Linked DNA regions of Lepisosteus oculatus. The protein of the gene in region 2 interacts with the protein of the main gene of each other region in a biochemical or structural test. Links are inferred from orthologs where the notes say so. Each region holds a gene or a part of one and is shown on either strand. Other genes may lie near its edges.

Evidence for each region. The genes of interacting proteins can lie anywhere in the genome.
Region 1: the proteins of reps2 (region 2) and epn1a form a complex in vitro, tested with the Homo sapiens proteins (3 studies listed by BioGRID and IntAct, with this or other methods). The link is inferred for Lepisosteus oculatus from reciprocal best matches to the Homo sapiens genes REPS2 and EPN1.

What each region holds. Positions count from the first base shown.
Region 1 is NC_090718.1:1,393,789-1,401,648, forward strand, and holds the start of epn1a (epsin-1), read left to right. Parts: upstream 1-4,841; 5' UTR 4,842-5,149; intron 5,150-7,272; 5' UTR 7,273-7,414; intron 7,415-7,522; 5' UTR 7,523-7,555; coding exon 7,556-7,624; intron 7,625-7,860. UniProt on the Homo sapiens protein: Binds to membranes enriched in phosphatidylinositol 4,5-bisphosphate (PtdIns(4,5)P2). Modifies membrane curvature and facilitates the formation of clathrin-coated invaginations. Regulates receptor-mediated endocytosis.
Region 2 is NC_090710.1:20,782,946-20,790,547, forward strand, and holds the start of reps2 (ralBP1-associated Eps domain-containing protein 2), read right to left. Parts: upstream 3,006-7,602; 5' UTR 2,841-3,005; intron 1,982-2,840; exon of another isoform or gene 1,892-1,981; 5' UTR 1,808-1,891; coding exon 1,628-1,807; intron 1-1,627. Other genes in the region: cltrn (collectrin), read left to right, coding at 7,454-7,520. UniProt on the Homo sapiens protein: Involved in ligand-dependent receptor mediated endocytosis of the EGF and insulin receptors as part of the Ral signaling pathway. By controlling growth factor receptors endocytosis may regulate cell survival.

The sequences.
Region 1 (7,860 bases), on a different chromosome or scaffold from region 2:
TCTGTATTTATTTCTGTTTTTTCCCAATTCCCCCGTCTACACGCCTAACTCTCTCCCCGATCAGACTGTCCCTCTCTCTGTCCCTGCTCTGTCTGAGACTGTCTGTCCCTGTCCTTTCTCTGAGAATCTATGTCCCTCTTCTTTCTCTGAGACTCACTGTCCCTGCTCAGTCTGAGACTCTCTGTCCCTGCTCTGTCTCTGAGACTCTCTGTCCCTGCTCTGTCTGAGACTCTCTGTCCCTGCTCAGTCTGAGACTCTCTGTCCCTGCTCTGTCTGAGACTCTCTGTCCCTGCTCTGTCTGAGACTCTCTGTCCCTGCTCAGTCTGAGACTCTCTGTCCCTGCTCAGTCTGAGACTCTCTGTCCCTGCTCTGTCTCTGAGACTCTCTGTCCCTGCTCTGTCTCTGAGACTCTCTGTCCCTGCTCAGTCTGAGACTCTCTGTCCCTGCTCTGTCTCTGAGACTCTCTGTCCCTGCTCAGTCTGAGACTCTCTATCCCTGCTCTGTCTCTGAGACTCTCTGTCCCTGCTCAGTCTGAGACTCTCTGTCCCTGCTCTGTCTGAGACTCTCTGTCCCTGCCCTGTCTCCTGGACTCTGTCTCTCTCTCTCTGCAGCTGTGAGGCTGTGCTCTCTCCCTCTGGCTCTGCAGTCTCTCTGTCAGCAGCCGCTGGCTGTGAGCTGTCGCGTGCCCCAGCCTCTCTCTCCTCGGCTCGCCGGAGATATTGTCCGGCTCTGTCCCTCCTGCCGGAGCCCCTGTCAGCCAGCCTGAGGGATTGAGCTGTGTTTCAATCAGCAGGAGCAGGGAATCTTAATTAGATAACAACATGTGCTAATTAACATGCTTGGGTGACACGAGTGTGTGTCATATTTCACCCTCTCCACCACACGCCCCCCTCTCTCTCCGCTGGCTCTCGGAGTGCTGTTTGTGTGTGATAATGCCCACTCTGACTCAAAGTGCCTCTCTCTCCCTGCCCCCCCGATCTCTCCCTGCCCCCCCGATCTCTCTCTCTCTGCCCCCCCGATCTCTCGCTCTCTGCACCCCCGATCTCTCCCTGCCCCCTGATCTCTCTCTCTCCGCCCCCCCTAATCTTTCTCCCTGTCCCCCTGATCCTTCTCTCTCTGCCCCCTGATCTCTCTCCCTGTCCCCCTGATCTCTCTCCCTGTCCCCCCGATCCCTCAGACCCTGGCCCCCGATCTCTCTCTCTCTGCCCCCCCTAATCTTTCTCCCTGCCCCCCTGATCTCTCTCTCTCTGCCCCCCGATCTCTATCCCTGCCCCCTGATCCTTCTCTCTCTGCCCCCCCAATCTCTCCCTGCCCCCCTGATCTCTCAGCCCCCCGATCTCTCTCCCTGTCCCCCCGATCTCTCTCCCTGGCCCCCCGATCTCTCTCCCTGGCCCCCCGATCTCTCTCCCTGCCCCCCTCGCCCCCCCGATCTTTCAGCACAGCGTTACTCGTTGACAGCCGTAACAGCTGGGGGCCTCTGCCAGCCATCGCCATGCCAACACAACACATGAGGTCATCTCTCTCCGACATCGCCATGCCAACACAACACATGAGGTCATCTGCCCCCGACATCGCCATGCCAACACAACACACGAGGTCCTCTCAGCGCCTCCGCGGCCCCGCTAGCGCTCCCCGGAGGAGCAGGCGAGGCAGCAGGCGCTTGGCGGGAATGACTGCTGGGACAGACGCTCCGCTTGCACAGCGAGGCTCCGGCTGGGACCGGGAACCTCTTCATGGACAGAAAGGCTCCAGCTGGACGCTCTGCTTCTCGCTCTCGGCAGCCAGCCTGCAGCCTGGAGACACATCCCATCAGTCAGCAGGATCGCCGCAGTGATGAGAAGGTTTCAGACTCCAGGTGTGTGTGTGTATACAGTGTGTCCAGTAAGAGTCTGGACTCCAGGTGTGTGTGTGTGTATACAGTGTGTCCAGTAAGAGTCTGGACTCCAGGTGTGTGTGTGTATACAGTGTGTCCAGTAAGAGTCTGGACTCCAGGTGTGTGTGTGTGTACAGTGTGTCCAGTAAGAGTCTGGACTCCAGGTGTGTGTGTGTGTGTATACAGTGTGTCCAGTAAGAGTCTGGACTCCAGGTGTGTGTGTGTGTATACAGTGTGTCCAGTAAGAGTCCGGACTCCAGGTGTGTGTGTGTGTATACAGTGTGTCCAGTAAGAGTCTGGACTCCAGGTGTGTGTGTGTGAGTATACAGTGTGTCCAGTAAGAGTCCGGACTCCAGGTGTGTGTGTGTGTATACAGTGTGTCCAGTAAGAGTCTGGACTCCAGGTGTGTGTGTGTGTGTATACAGTGTGTCCAGTAAGAGTCTGGACTCCAGGTGTGTGTGTGTGTATATACAGTGTGTCCAGTAAGAGTCTGGACTCCAGGTGTGTGTGTGTATACAGTGTGTCCAGTAAGAGTCTGGACTCCAGGTGTGTGTGTGTGTGTATACAGTGTGTCCAGTAAGAGTCTGGACTCCAGGTGTGTGTGTGTGTATATACAGTGTGTCCAGTAAGAGTCTGGACTCCAGGTGTGTGTGTGTGTATACAGTGTGTCCAGTAAGAGTCCGGACTCCAGGTGTGTGTGTGTGTATACAGTGTGTCCAGTAAGAGTCTGGACTCCAGGTGTGTGTGTGTGAGTATACAGTGTGTCCAGTAAGAGTCCGGACTCCAGGTGTGTGTGTGTGTATACAGTGTGTCCAGTAAGAGTCTGGACTCCAGGTGTGTGTGGGTGTGTATACAGTGTGTCCAGTAAGAGTCTGGACTCCAGGTGTGTTTGTGTGTATACAGTGTGTCCAGTAAGAGTCTGGACTCCAGGTGTGTGTGTGTATACAGTGTGTCCAGTAAGAGTCTGGACTCCAGGTGTGTGTGTATATACAGTGTGTCCAGTAAGAGTCTGGACTCCAGGTGTGTGTGTGTATACAGTGTGTCCAATAAGAGTCTGGACTCCAGGTGTGTGTGTGTATACAGTGTGTCCAGTAAGAGTCTGGACTACAGGTGTGTGTGTGTATACAGTGTGTCCAATAAGAGTCTGGACTCCAGGTGTGTGTGTGTATACAGTGTGTCCAGTAAGAGTCTGGACTCCAGGTGTGTGTGTATACAGTGTGTCCAGTAAGAGTCTGGACTCCAGGTGTGTGTGTGTATATACAGTGTGTCCAGTAAGAGTCTGGACTCCAGGTGTGTGTGTGTATACAGTGTGTCCAGTAAGAGTCTGGACTCCTGGTGTGTGTGTATACAGTGTGTCCAGTAAGAGACTGGACTCCAGGTGTGTGTGTATACAGTGTGTTCAGTGAGAGTCTGGACTCCAGGTGTGTGTGTGTGTATACAGTGTGTCCAGTAAGAGTCTGGATTCCAGGTGTGTGTGTGTGTATACAGTGTGTCCAGTAAGAGTCTGGACTCCTGGTGTGTGTGTGTGTATACAGTGTGTCCAGTAAGAGTCTGGACTCCAGGTGTGTGTGTGTATACAGTGTGTCCAGTAAGAGTCTGGACTCCAGGTGTGTGTGTGTATACAGTGTGTCCAGTAAGAGTCTGGACTCCAGGTGTGTGTGTGTGTATATATACAGTGTGTCCAGTAAGAGTCTGGACTCCAGGTGTGTGTGTGTGTGTATACAGTGTGTCCAGTAAGAGTCTGGACTCCAGGCGTGTGTGTGTGTATACAGTGTGTCCAGTAAGAGTCTGGACTCCAGGTGTGTGTGTGTGTGTATACAGTGTGTCCAGTAAGAGTCTGGACTCCAGGTGTGTGTTTATACAGTGTGTCCAGTTAGAGTCTGGACTCCAGGTGTGTGTGTGTGTATACAGTGTGTCCAGTAAGAGTCTGGACTCCAGGTGTGTGTTTATACAGTGTGTCCAGTAAGAGTCTGGACTCCAGGTGTGTGTGTGTGTATACAGTGTGTTCAGTAAGACTCTGGGCTCCAGGTGTGTTTATACAGTGCCTCTAGTGGTGGCTTTTGTGAATAACAGTTGCACTTAAAACAGACCATCTTTTACTTTGTAACTCTTCTGTGTATCAGTTTTGTAAATGAAAAATTCTCCATAAGAAGGCATATTGTCTTTATTGTTAAACTCATGGTTTCCCTCAAACAGTTAGCTGTTTTAAAACAAGTAAACTCTCTCCATGTCAATGTTTTCTGATTCATGGTTGTGTTCGGTATGGCAACAGTCTATAATCTAATAGTATAATCTAGTAGTGTATTGTAAGTAATACATGAGCCCTGCAGACTGTTCCATAGATAGGAATTGGAAGTATATGGTTGTATGTTACTTGAACATCCTTGAATTGTACCTGATAAACATTGCATTATTATAAACACTACCCAGTTTATGCTCCACCTGTATCAGGCAGGGTGTATACAGTGTGTCCAATAAGTGCAGGGTGTAGCCTGCTGTACATCGACCCTCTCGTTATCAGTTAAATACTTCAGCATACTTCAGTTTACAGCACACGAGTGCAATGTCAATAATATGCAGCATAAGAGCTAGCTGATCTCTACACTACAGTATAAGAGCTCACTGATCTCTACACTACACAGTATAAGAGCTAACTTACAGTATAAGAGCCAGCTAATGTTTATACTAAACAGTATACGAGATCCCTGATATCTTAACGATTCAGTTTTAGAGCCAGCCGATGTCAGGATGATGCAGTATAAGGGCTACAGGATCTCTGCATTATACAGCACAAGAGCTACAAGTTGTCTATATTATTCAATGTAAGAGCTAGCTCATGTGCGTCCTGTGCAGTCTAAGAGCAAGCTGGTGTGTACGATCTACAGCAGAGGAGCTCTTAGATGGCAGAAGCATGTCTGCCCTACACGGTGATCTACGCGTCCACCCCTCCCTGGGCAGCCGGCCCCGCCCACCCGGGGGGCACGTGAGGCAGGGGGCGGAAGCGGAAGCGGAAGTGGCGCCATCTTGCCGTTCCCAGCGAAGTGGGGCTTGGAAGGGTCAGTTCCGATCCGAGCCGCGATAAAAGCAGAGCGGCGGCGCTTGCCCGGGGTGTCAGCGATCAGGCCGCACGGCAGCGGGGACCGCTGGGCTCCGTCACGCCCGAGGGGAGAGGAGTGGATGTCGCGTCCCGCCCGTCCCGCCGCCCCCCTGTGGATCTTCTCGCTCCTGACGCGCGGCTCCATGGCGCAGCGCGGCTGAGGCGCCCGGCGGGGACAGGTAAGCGGGCGCGGGGGTGTCGGGGGGCGCCCTGCTCCGTCACCGTGCGGGAGAGGGGGGCAGAGACTCGGGGAGGTGGGGGCGGCAATGGGCGCGCGTGCGTGTGCGTGCCTCGGCGCGAGGGAGCCGCTGGGCGCGTGCACGTGTCAGGGCGAGAGACTCTCCGGTCATGGGGCTTTTGGGAAATCGGTCCATCCCCGCCCCGATTCGGGAAGCAGTGTTTTGGGGTGCCGGGGCTTCCCAGCAGAGACGCCTGCAGGGTCACAGGGGCGTCCTGTCTGATCGTGCAGGATCGGCACACAGATCCGGGATTGTAACAACACCGTCACACCTGGAGCGGATCAGACTGCTGCACACTGGGACTGTAACAACACTGTCACACCTGGAGTGGATCAGACTGTTACACACTGGGACTGTAACAACACCGTCACACCTGGAGCGGATCAGACTGCTGCACACTGGGACTGTAACAACACTGTCACACCTGGAGCGGATCAGACTGCTGCACACTGGGACTGTAACAACACTAACACCTGGAGCGGATCAGACTGCTGCGCACTGGGACTGAAACAACACCGCCACACCTGGAGCGGATCAGACTGCTACACACTGGGACTGTAACAACACCGTCACACCTGGAGCGGATCAGACTGCTACACACTGGGACTGAAACAACACCGGGACACCTGGAGCGGATCAGACTGCTGCGCACTGGGACTGTAACAACACCGGGACACCTGGAGCGGATCAGACTGCTGCACACTGGGACTGTAACAACACCGTCACACCTGGAGCGGATCAGACTGCTGCACACTGGGACTGTAACAACACCGCCACACCTGGAGCGGATCAGACTGCTGCACACTGGGACTGTAACAACACCGTCACACCTGGAGCGGATCAGACTGCTGCGCACTGGGACTGAAACAACACTAACACCTGGAGCGGATCAGACTGCTGCGCACTGGGACTGAAACAACACCGCCACACCTGGAGCGGATCAGACTGCTGCGCACTGGGACTGTAACAACACCGCCACACCTGGAGCGGATCAGACTGCTGCGCACTGGGACTGTAACAACACCGCCACACCTGGAGCGGATCAGACTGCTGCGCACTGGGACTGTAACAACACCGTCACACCTGGAGCGGATGAGACTGCTGCCCACTGGGACTGTAACAACACCGTCACACCTGGAGCGGATGAGACTGCTGCCCACTGGGACTGTAACAACACCGTCACACCTGGAGCGGATCAGACTGCTGCCCACTGGGACTGTAACAACACCGTCACACTTGGAGCGGATCAGACTGGTGCACACTGGGACTGTAACAACACCGTCACACTTGGAGCGGATCAGACTGCTGCCCACTGGGACTGTAACAACACCGTCACACCTGGAGCGGATCAGACTGCTGCCCACTGGGACTGTAACAACACCGTCACACCTGGAGCGGATCAGACTGGTGCCCACTGGGACTGTAACAACACCGTCACACCTGGAGCGGATCAGACTGGTGCACACTGGGACTGTAACAACACCGTCACACCTGGAGCGGATCAGACTGCTGCGCACTGGGACTGTAACAACACCGTCACACTTGGAGCGGATCAGACTGCTGCGCACTGGGACTGGAACAACACCGTCACACCTGGAGCGGATCAGACTGCTGCGCACTGGGACTGGAACAACACCGTCACACCTGGAGCGGATCAGACTGCTGCGCACTGGGACTGGAACAACACCGTCACACCTGGAGCGGATCAGACTGCTGCGCACTGGGATTGGAACAACACCGTCACACCTGGAGCGGATCAGACTGCTGCGCACTGGGACTGGAACAACACTGCAACACCTGGAGCGGATCAGACTGCTGCCCACTGGGACTGTAGGGCTGTGAAGCTGGAGAGGATCAGACTGCGGTGCAGTGGGTGGGTCGGTGTGGGTCTGGACGCTGTGCACCTCGCACTCTTGACCTGCTCTGCCCACAGTGTGAGGCTCAGGGCTCTAACTGTCACTGGGGCCTAGGCTGGCAGTGCCGGGGGGTGGGAACTACATTTCCCAGAATTTTGTAGTCCCAAACGATGGTGCGGCGCTGAATGCGGTTCCCTTCCCCTGCAGGGTTTGGTGACTTCAATTGCTTGGTTCCGGGACCAATGTCGTCGAGGCGAGAGGCCGGCAGACAGGGACACAGCGATCCGTAAACGCGTGGAGAGAGAGAGAGAGAGCGAGCGAGACAGACTGCGAGCTTCGACTTTCACAGGTGAGGATCCCCCTGACGGGAGCGGAGGAGAGAGGGAATTCACCCCCTGCGTGTCCCTGTGTGTGTGTGTGTGTCCAGGTCTCTGTCTCAGCCTGCGTCTCTCTTTAGACAGAGGCAAGGACAGACGGACAGGTGGTTGCCATGTCGACCTCATCGCTACGGCGACAAGTGAAAAACATTGTGCACAACTACTCTGAGGCCGAGATCAAGGTGAGTCTGTCTCCGTGGCGACGGTGTGGGTGGGTCAGGGGTGGGCAAAGGGGTGTGTTAGTCAGTGGCTGGGCGGTGGTGTGCCCTGGCGGTCAGGGTCTCAGCGGGGGTTCGGGTCAGCGGGTGGGTCAGTCAAGGGCTCAGTGGTTGGATCGTTCAGGGGTCAGTTGGTCAGTCGGGGTCTCAGCAGGGGGGCCAGTCAGGGGGGCAGCGGACAGGAGCTGACGTGGCACCGC
Region 2 (7,602 bases):
CTACTCCTGTGCAGTGGTGGTGGTGTCTTGTTGGACCAATGTGCATATGAAGGCCTACAAAACCTGTACCTCAGACTCAGACTAATACTGAATATTTGTGCAGAGCAGCCATTTCACAAAAAGAGAGGCCTCCACTCCTCTTTACAAATACTGTATATCACACATCAAGTTTTTCTTCCTTTGCAAAGTATATTGCAAGTACAATAGAATTAAAACTATTAGCTTAAAACCATCAACAGCAGTGGACGCATCCCCTATTAATTCAAATGCACCACTGCATGAGCAAAGAACATTTAAAGTCAAAACGTGCATTTCAGATTGCTGTGATAGCCTACATTTGACCGTGCGCATTACGGTGTAAAACTGTCTTCTAGACATGTGGGTGGGCGAAGATGTGTTATGTTTACAATATGAAATAAGTCAGAAAGAGTATATACAGACATTATAACATATAATTTGTAAATTATCTCATCTTGGGAATGAGCCGTCTTTCTGTCTCCAGCATTAACACGTGGTACTAAGTGAAACATCTAATTATGATACAGTCTACATGGAATGTGTGTGCTCGTTTACCTTAAACTATAAAGTAGATAATAACCTAGGATAAGTTACAGTGAAGCGAGCCTACACTTTGCACACCTGTGGATTTTGCTTTCTCGAGATCTGCACAGGAACGGGGAATAGAATAGGTGCTTCCATAGAAACCATTCTGACCTATAAAATATGACTTTCGCGCACCTGCTGTCAGGCAGGTTTTGAGCGTTCCGGAGGGTTTATCTTACCGATCCTAATTTATTTTTAGGTAGCATTTAGAATACAAGCTTAATGGCTTCGAATACATTCTTTGCATACCATTACAAACAACAAATAACAGAGGTCCTCTGAAAAATGTAGCTAGTTGAAGTGATCGTTCATTATTTATTTTCCCATAAGCTTACTTATCGAGCCCCTGTACACGTTTTTATTTATTAAGTATTATTTTTAATGAAGTCAAACGCAGCGATGGTACCGGAAAGTCTACTAATGACTGACTAATTTGATGAGCTAACCCTCTGGTATCAAGTGCAGTACAGGTGGTTTTGCAAGCTGTTTTCAATGTTATCAGCTGACAGGACAACGGTAAACTAACCCCCACATCTTTCTCTTTAGAATTGTGTTATATACAGTATTAATACGATCATCACACTCTCTGGTAAATTCTATTTTTTAAATTCAGCTGCCGTCTTATAGCGACGCTGAAAGTTAAATAAAGGTTATGTCACAGCTCATCTTGCAACGTGGAGAAAGCGGAAAAGAAGTAGCAAATTAACATCTTTTTGCATAGACAACGAAAAAAATAAAGCAAAAATAAAACGAACAAACACATCCACTCCTGCCTTGAAGGAGAGCGAATTGATTCTCCTAACTATACCAGCTTAGCTGAAAATAAACATTAGTCTTGTTTCCTGTGTACCACCTGAAATGCTTACAGCGAAAGCTTAGCTACTCGAGATCCGTGCTTCTGCTCAAAACTAGCAAACGGAAATTAACAATATTTATACACCGATTTAACCGAGATGGTCAAAGTAATAAGAGCAACAAAATAGCACGGCCATCTTAATAATAAAATCAAACAGCCGACACTTACCTGATGAAGAGTCTCGCTAGGTAGGTGGGATGCTCTGAACAGCTCTATCACTTTACTCGCTGCTAGTTTCCCTGAACTGTCAGCTTGGCACAAACTGTGCAGACCCGAGTAATATCTTTGTTCATTTTCACTCAAGGCAATAAAACTCCCTCCCGTCGCCGTTCCAGGTCCCTGATCCATTCCTGACACATTCAAGAAGACAGTTTCGGAGCTTCACCAGCTCAAAGATAAACAGGCCCCGATCCCCAGAGCGTCGCGTCTGGTCTAAAACAGTGGGGAAAAAACATACAAAAATAAAATAAAAAGAACACGTATCTGCAGTAGCAGAGTTTACATTTCCTTACACTGAGCGCAGTGTGGCGAAGTACAACATCAAGACGCAAGGTGGCGCCATTAGCAAAGAATCCCGAGTTTGACGTCAGCTTGCAAACTCGGAAAGCAATCTTGTAGCTGGTCAGTATCCGATAATTGAAGCGGCAGTGACTCTTATCAATGAAGTTACGATTGCATCGCTGAGTTTTTTTCTGTCGTTGCCAAATAGGCGTAAAACGTGTATGTACAGTATATACACTGTATTTAAGGTCTGTACTTTCAGGTGAAACTGGTGTAGACAGTTCGATAAACAGTTAATCTGGAGTAGTTTAGGGATTTAAAGCCCACAATTATCTTCGTGAATTAAAAAAGATACATGTAATATAGAATGATAGCAAGCTGAATAAGCAGATGTAAAAGTCGCTCACTGTTGCAGTGGATTATTGCAGATCAGACAATTGGAATCTTGAGAATTTTGCCTGAAGTGCAGTACGACACGATCTCATTAACCCTGTTGCTAACCTTAAATCACCGTATGTTCCTTACGTGCTGTGTTTATATCGTATTAAGACGAACACATAAAACTATAGTGTTATAGAAAGCGAGATAACGTGGCGAACATCATCCATCCTGTAGGGATGTGTAATTATTTTTCTATGTGTAATATTATCTAACCATGTTTCACAAAACTTCCCGAATTTAACTCAAATGTTCTGTCATCTTGAGAGCACAGAATAAATTCAGGACTTGATTTATTACAACCCCTGGCAGATATTGTGGTTGCTTGATTAGTAATAGGAATTATACTCTTACACTACAAAAAAATAATAGCTGTAGTTCATCTATGAGTAACCAGTTGAAACATAAATCACTAGTACATTTTAATTAATGTTTATCTTACCTCCAGCAGCTGCCTAAAACAAATGTCCACTTTAGGTCAAAAGCTGAAAGAAGCATGTGATCCGGCTTGCATTACAGTACAGTATGTTACAATGTTGGATAACAGGAAAAACGGCTATTGCAGCAAATACGTCTGGGTTAAAAAAAAAACACTTCCTCGAGTACAACTACTGTAGTAAAACAAACGCAAGCTTTAATAGTCTGTATTGTTGAAAGGCTGTCTGCTGTAAAGTGTTTTTAGACAAGTAAATTAATTTATTCACGCTGCTTTGCAATGGTGACAGCTGGCCTACCCTTGAGGTTTGCATGTTTTTTGAATGACAGGTAAAAGAGTAACGATGTGCAAACCCGCGGTATACCAAGACAGAAATGCATCAATTAAAATACACATCCGTGAAGACGGATATATTTATTGCAGCACATTGTAGCGCTCTTAGGTTCACGTGGGTATGCTCCCTCGCCGCTGCCGCCTCAGGTCAGCCCCCCCACTCCTAGGGACTCGACCCTGGGCCCCCGGCAGCACTCAACAGGGACCCAGCCAGTTGAGCTAAAGGGAAATCTCCCTTCAGCCCGCCAGCTGTGGTCCCTGCTATTCACAGGGAAGGGCGGTGACGTCACCGTGCTGGGAAGCCGGCTCGCACAACTTGTAATGTCGGCCGTATGCGTTACAATATATTTCATTCACTATAGTGTAATGTACTTTTCAGAGTTCAGGTTAAAAAAAAAACTTTACAAAAGAGAAATTTCTAAGAAATAACAAACAGACCAATGGAATAAACATGTTTTTTAAACATCACAAGTTTGAATTAAATTAGTAAAAAGCCCATGTATATTTTACCAGATTAACAGATTAACATGGGCCCAGATGGCTTTTAATTGCAACCTTGTTATCTACCTAATGCATTTCATGTTTGTAAGTTTTGTTTTTGCTTTTACTGGATCAAAAAAAGTAACTATAACACTTCAGGGTTCACATGGGCACCCCTCACCACTGCCACATCAGGTCAGCCCCCCACTGTCAGGGACTCAAACCCAGGCCTCTAGCATCACTCAACAGGGACCCAGCCTCTTAAGCCAAAGGGAGATTTCTCTTTGGGTCAAGAGGCTGGGTCCCTGTTGAGTGATGCCAGAGGCCTGGGTTTGAGTCCCCGACGGTGGGGGGCTGACCTAATGCACCAGTGGCAAGGGTGCCCATGTGAGCCCCGAAGCATTACATAATGAATGCTGTCTATTGGAAATAATACGGGGTTGAGCGGTATGTATAAAAGATTAAGTAATGAACAATCATCTGGAAATCTTTAATTTCAGAGAACAGTAATAAAATAACTGTAGGGGGCGTCGTGAGCTTTAGATATACAATTCATCATTTTGAAATGCATGTTATTTTAACTTAACTTTCTGCCAGCATAACAAAAATCTTCCCATATCACAGACTTTTATTAGGACCAGTATTTTATCCGAGAAAAGGGACAGCAGTTAGAAAACACAGTGGAGATCTGAAAGCAAACGTTAAACAATTTCTTGAAGTTACAAAATATAAAAATAATTCAAGTTGTGTAACCTTTACTAAAATCTTGAAAAGCCATTTAAAATACTGCCAAATACTTTGTTTTAGGAGTGTCAGACTAGTGTAACTCTTAAACGTGTTAAAACTTCAATTTTTTAAACTTTTTTGTAACACCCATGTACTGCTTTTAATGACTTGTAAGAATGTTAGCATTTTTATCACAAACAGAAAACACTGGTACTGTAGATTATTCTTAATATGTTGTAAGGACTTTTTGCTGCAGTGAAATCTTGACTGTGGTATTGCTGTGTGATTTGATTAATTGAATACATTAAATACTCCTCATTAAGCGGAGTGCGTTATACCGCCATTTTGACGGAACGAGTGCTAGGTGATGAATTACTGCCAGTAAATGAGCTGCCTCACAAAGCTGTATTATTGAGCAAAGAAATAGTCAGTTTGGGGTTCTCGGTGGCTCAGGAGGTTGAAGAAAAAATACATTGCAAGAGGAGCCAGACTCTGAGAGAAATTAAGTCGGTTCAGTGCTGAAAATAGAAAGGGACAATTTATTAAGCGTTCAAAAAAAATATATAAGAAAGCTTTGGGACTCCAGTCAGCATGTCAGTAGTTCAGCAGATCTTTGTAGATCTTTGTTTTCTTGAATTACTTTTTAGGAATAAATAATAAAATGTTGATTTAGAAAGAATATTGCTTTAGTTACAATTGCAAAAGCATTAGAATCTGTTCCAAGTAAGGGCATCTGTTCTCCCATAGACATATTATACAGTACATACATTTAAGGAAGCCTAATAAAAAAAAACATGTCATTCGTTAGGCGATGATGTCCATAACATAGACCTGACGTAACATTAGCTTTGAGATCAATATATGTCATTAGTTCTAATGCAATAGTTCTAATAAAAACTGTGATGCATTGTAAAATAAACAGTAGCTTGGTGCAAAAGAAACTCTTGCACTTACTTCTCAATGTTTTGTCTTAAACATCGAGGGAACTTAGTGACTGACTAAAAGAGTACTCTATCTCCATCTCTAAATCATACCAATGTTAAACTAATTGTGTATGTTGACTGTTATACAATCTAATTCCTACAGGAAAGACACAAAAACTATGATAAAAAGTAATTAATTTGCTAAATTAACCGAATTATCTTCTGATTAAACTCCTCTAGCTTCTTGCCTCTAATGTCCTTACAGGAAGTAATGTCTTGTGCTTCCTTATTTCATTTGATTACAATTAAATTATTGTTCTTTATAATTCAATTATGGTTTATTAATTATGGCCCCTACCATACTCCAATAACAATCTCATTTACATTTCACTATACAATGTTTACTGCAATACGTACTCAAAGTATTACAAACCAGCAAAAGAAGGCATATCATGCAAGTAATTTATCTTACATTATGATAATTATTATTATTAAAGATTGAGTCCACAAAAAATAGTCTTTCTGAGAAATACCTGTCATGTGCTTGCTTGATGAAATATCTCAGTCTAGCCAAAATGTCCAGTAAACCCCCAGACATCTTGCAATTTGATGTCATAGAAACCTGATTTGTCTTATTGAAATATGGTGCACCAGGAACAAAATTAAGCATCAAACATTTGATTTGGGTCGTCCAATTAAAAAAAAAATCTTAATGTATTCTTTAGGATAAGGGGGCATTGCTGTTAAGAAAGATAGCTCCCATTTCTTTTAATCCTTTTTGTGTAAATGTTGGATTCTAATAAGTTTTGTAACTTTAAAAAAGTAGAATAAGACAAGGAACACATAGCAAAAAAAAAAAATTGAAATTATTGTAGTGCTGTACATATTTATATGGATTCATTTTATAATAAACAGTACAGGCTACTATAGTTGTATATTGGTATGTCTGTTTCCATTTTTTACTTTGGAACTGGTAAACAGAATAAAACACGCACTTACTACATGCATGAAGGATATAATGTGTATTAGATAATTTAGGAGGTTGGTAAAAAGCGACGGGTATGACATTTAATTATTTGCATCACTTTTAATTTGTCTGTGACTGTATATGTCTAACAAGGAGGTTGTATTTTAAACTTTCATTTCACTGTTACCTTTATACTGATTGCCAGATTTAATAAAAGCTGAAATGAGGCTGCAGAAATGAACTCTCAGCAAAAGAAAAAGTTAATATCCAGTCCTGGTAAGGAATTAATAGTACCACAGGACACTGATTTTCAGGCTAGTTTAGTTAGTTAAGATTGCCTCTTCTTTCTAGGTATGCAGAAAAACACATGACAAGAGAAATGGAATGTGATTTAAATTCTGTTCTCATTACATGAAACAGGTTTGACAGTTATAGCACGGTCCCAAGGTTACAGAAAAGTTAAAGTTTAATCAGTTGATGCATGATACTGGCAGAAAACACAGAAAATATACAGTATTTGTTTAAAATAAATAAATTTAAGGTCGGTGTAAAAGGATTATACACTTTACATGCTTGATGAGGAAGCAGAACACAAGATCAATTTACCAAAGTGTGGAAGAAGTAGGGATCAACAGATCACCTGATGGGCAGTCCTTTTGTTTTTTTCTGTATTAGTGGAATCAATTCTCAGTATTCAACACAATATGCCTACATGTATTTTGAGTGACTTTGTTACAATCAACAAGATAAAAGTAAAGCCTTCGTGTTAGGGGCACATAGGCTGCAAAATATGCTGGAAACTCCAATATCTTCAGGGTATCATATTGTTCTGAATAAAAACAGATTACATCAACTTGTGTGTTTACCAGATAATCTGTCTATCCCAGTCAATCTTATCAGCCCTTGCTTCTGCACAGGCAAACATATCCTTTTTTGCTTTCTATAAATGCACGTTTTTCAAATCTAATTAAACACGCCCTTCTAGGGAAAATGAGCACATCAGAAACCTGTTTGCACATATTCAGAGGTTGCCATGTCTCAGTCAGGGTTGTATGAGCCTGGGTTAATAATTAAACCCTTTCTAAACCTCCCCTTTTATATTTTCGATCCCACACTGTTCTAATCCTTGGCCACACTGAACTTAACATTGCCTTGGATATTTTGCTCTCTTCTTTTCACACTTGGGAAGGATGCTAGCGGGACTCTTGGTTTTGTTGATCTTAATGCCAGCTCTTGCAGTGGCTGCGTGTGAACCCAGTAAGTAAATCTGTATCATCTTCTAAAAGGAAACACATTACAATTGACATTTTTGGTGATATCATGTTCTTTTGCGAACCAG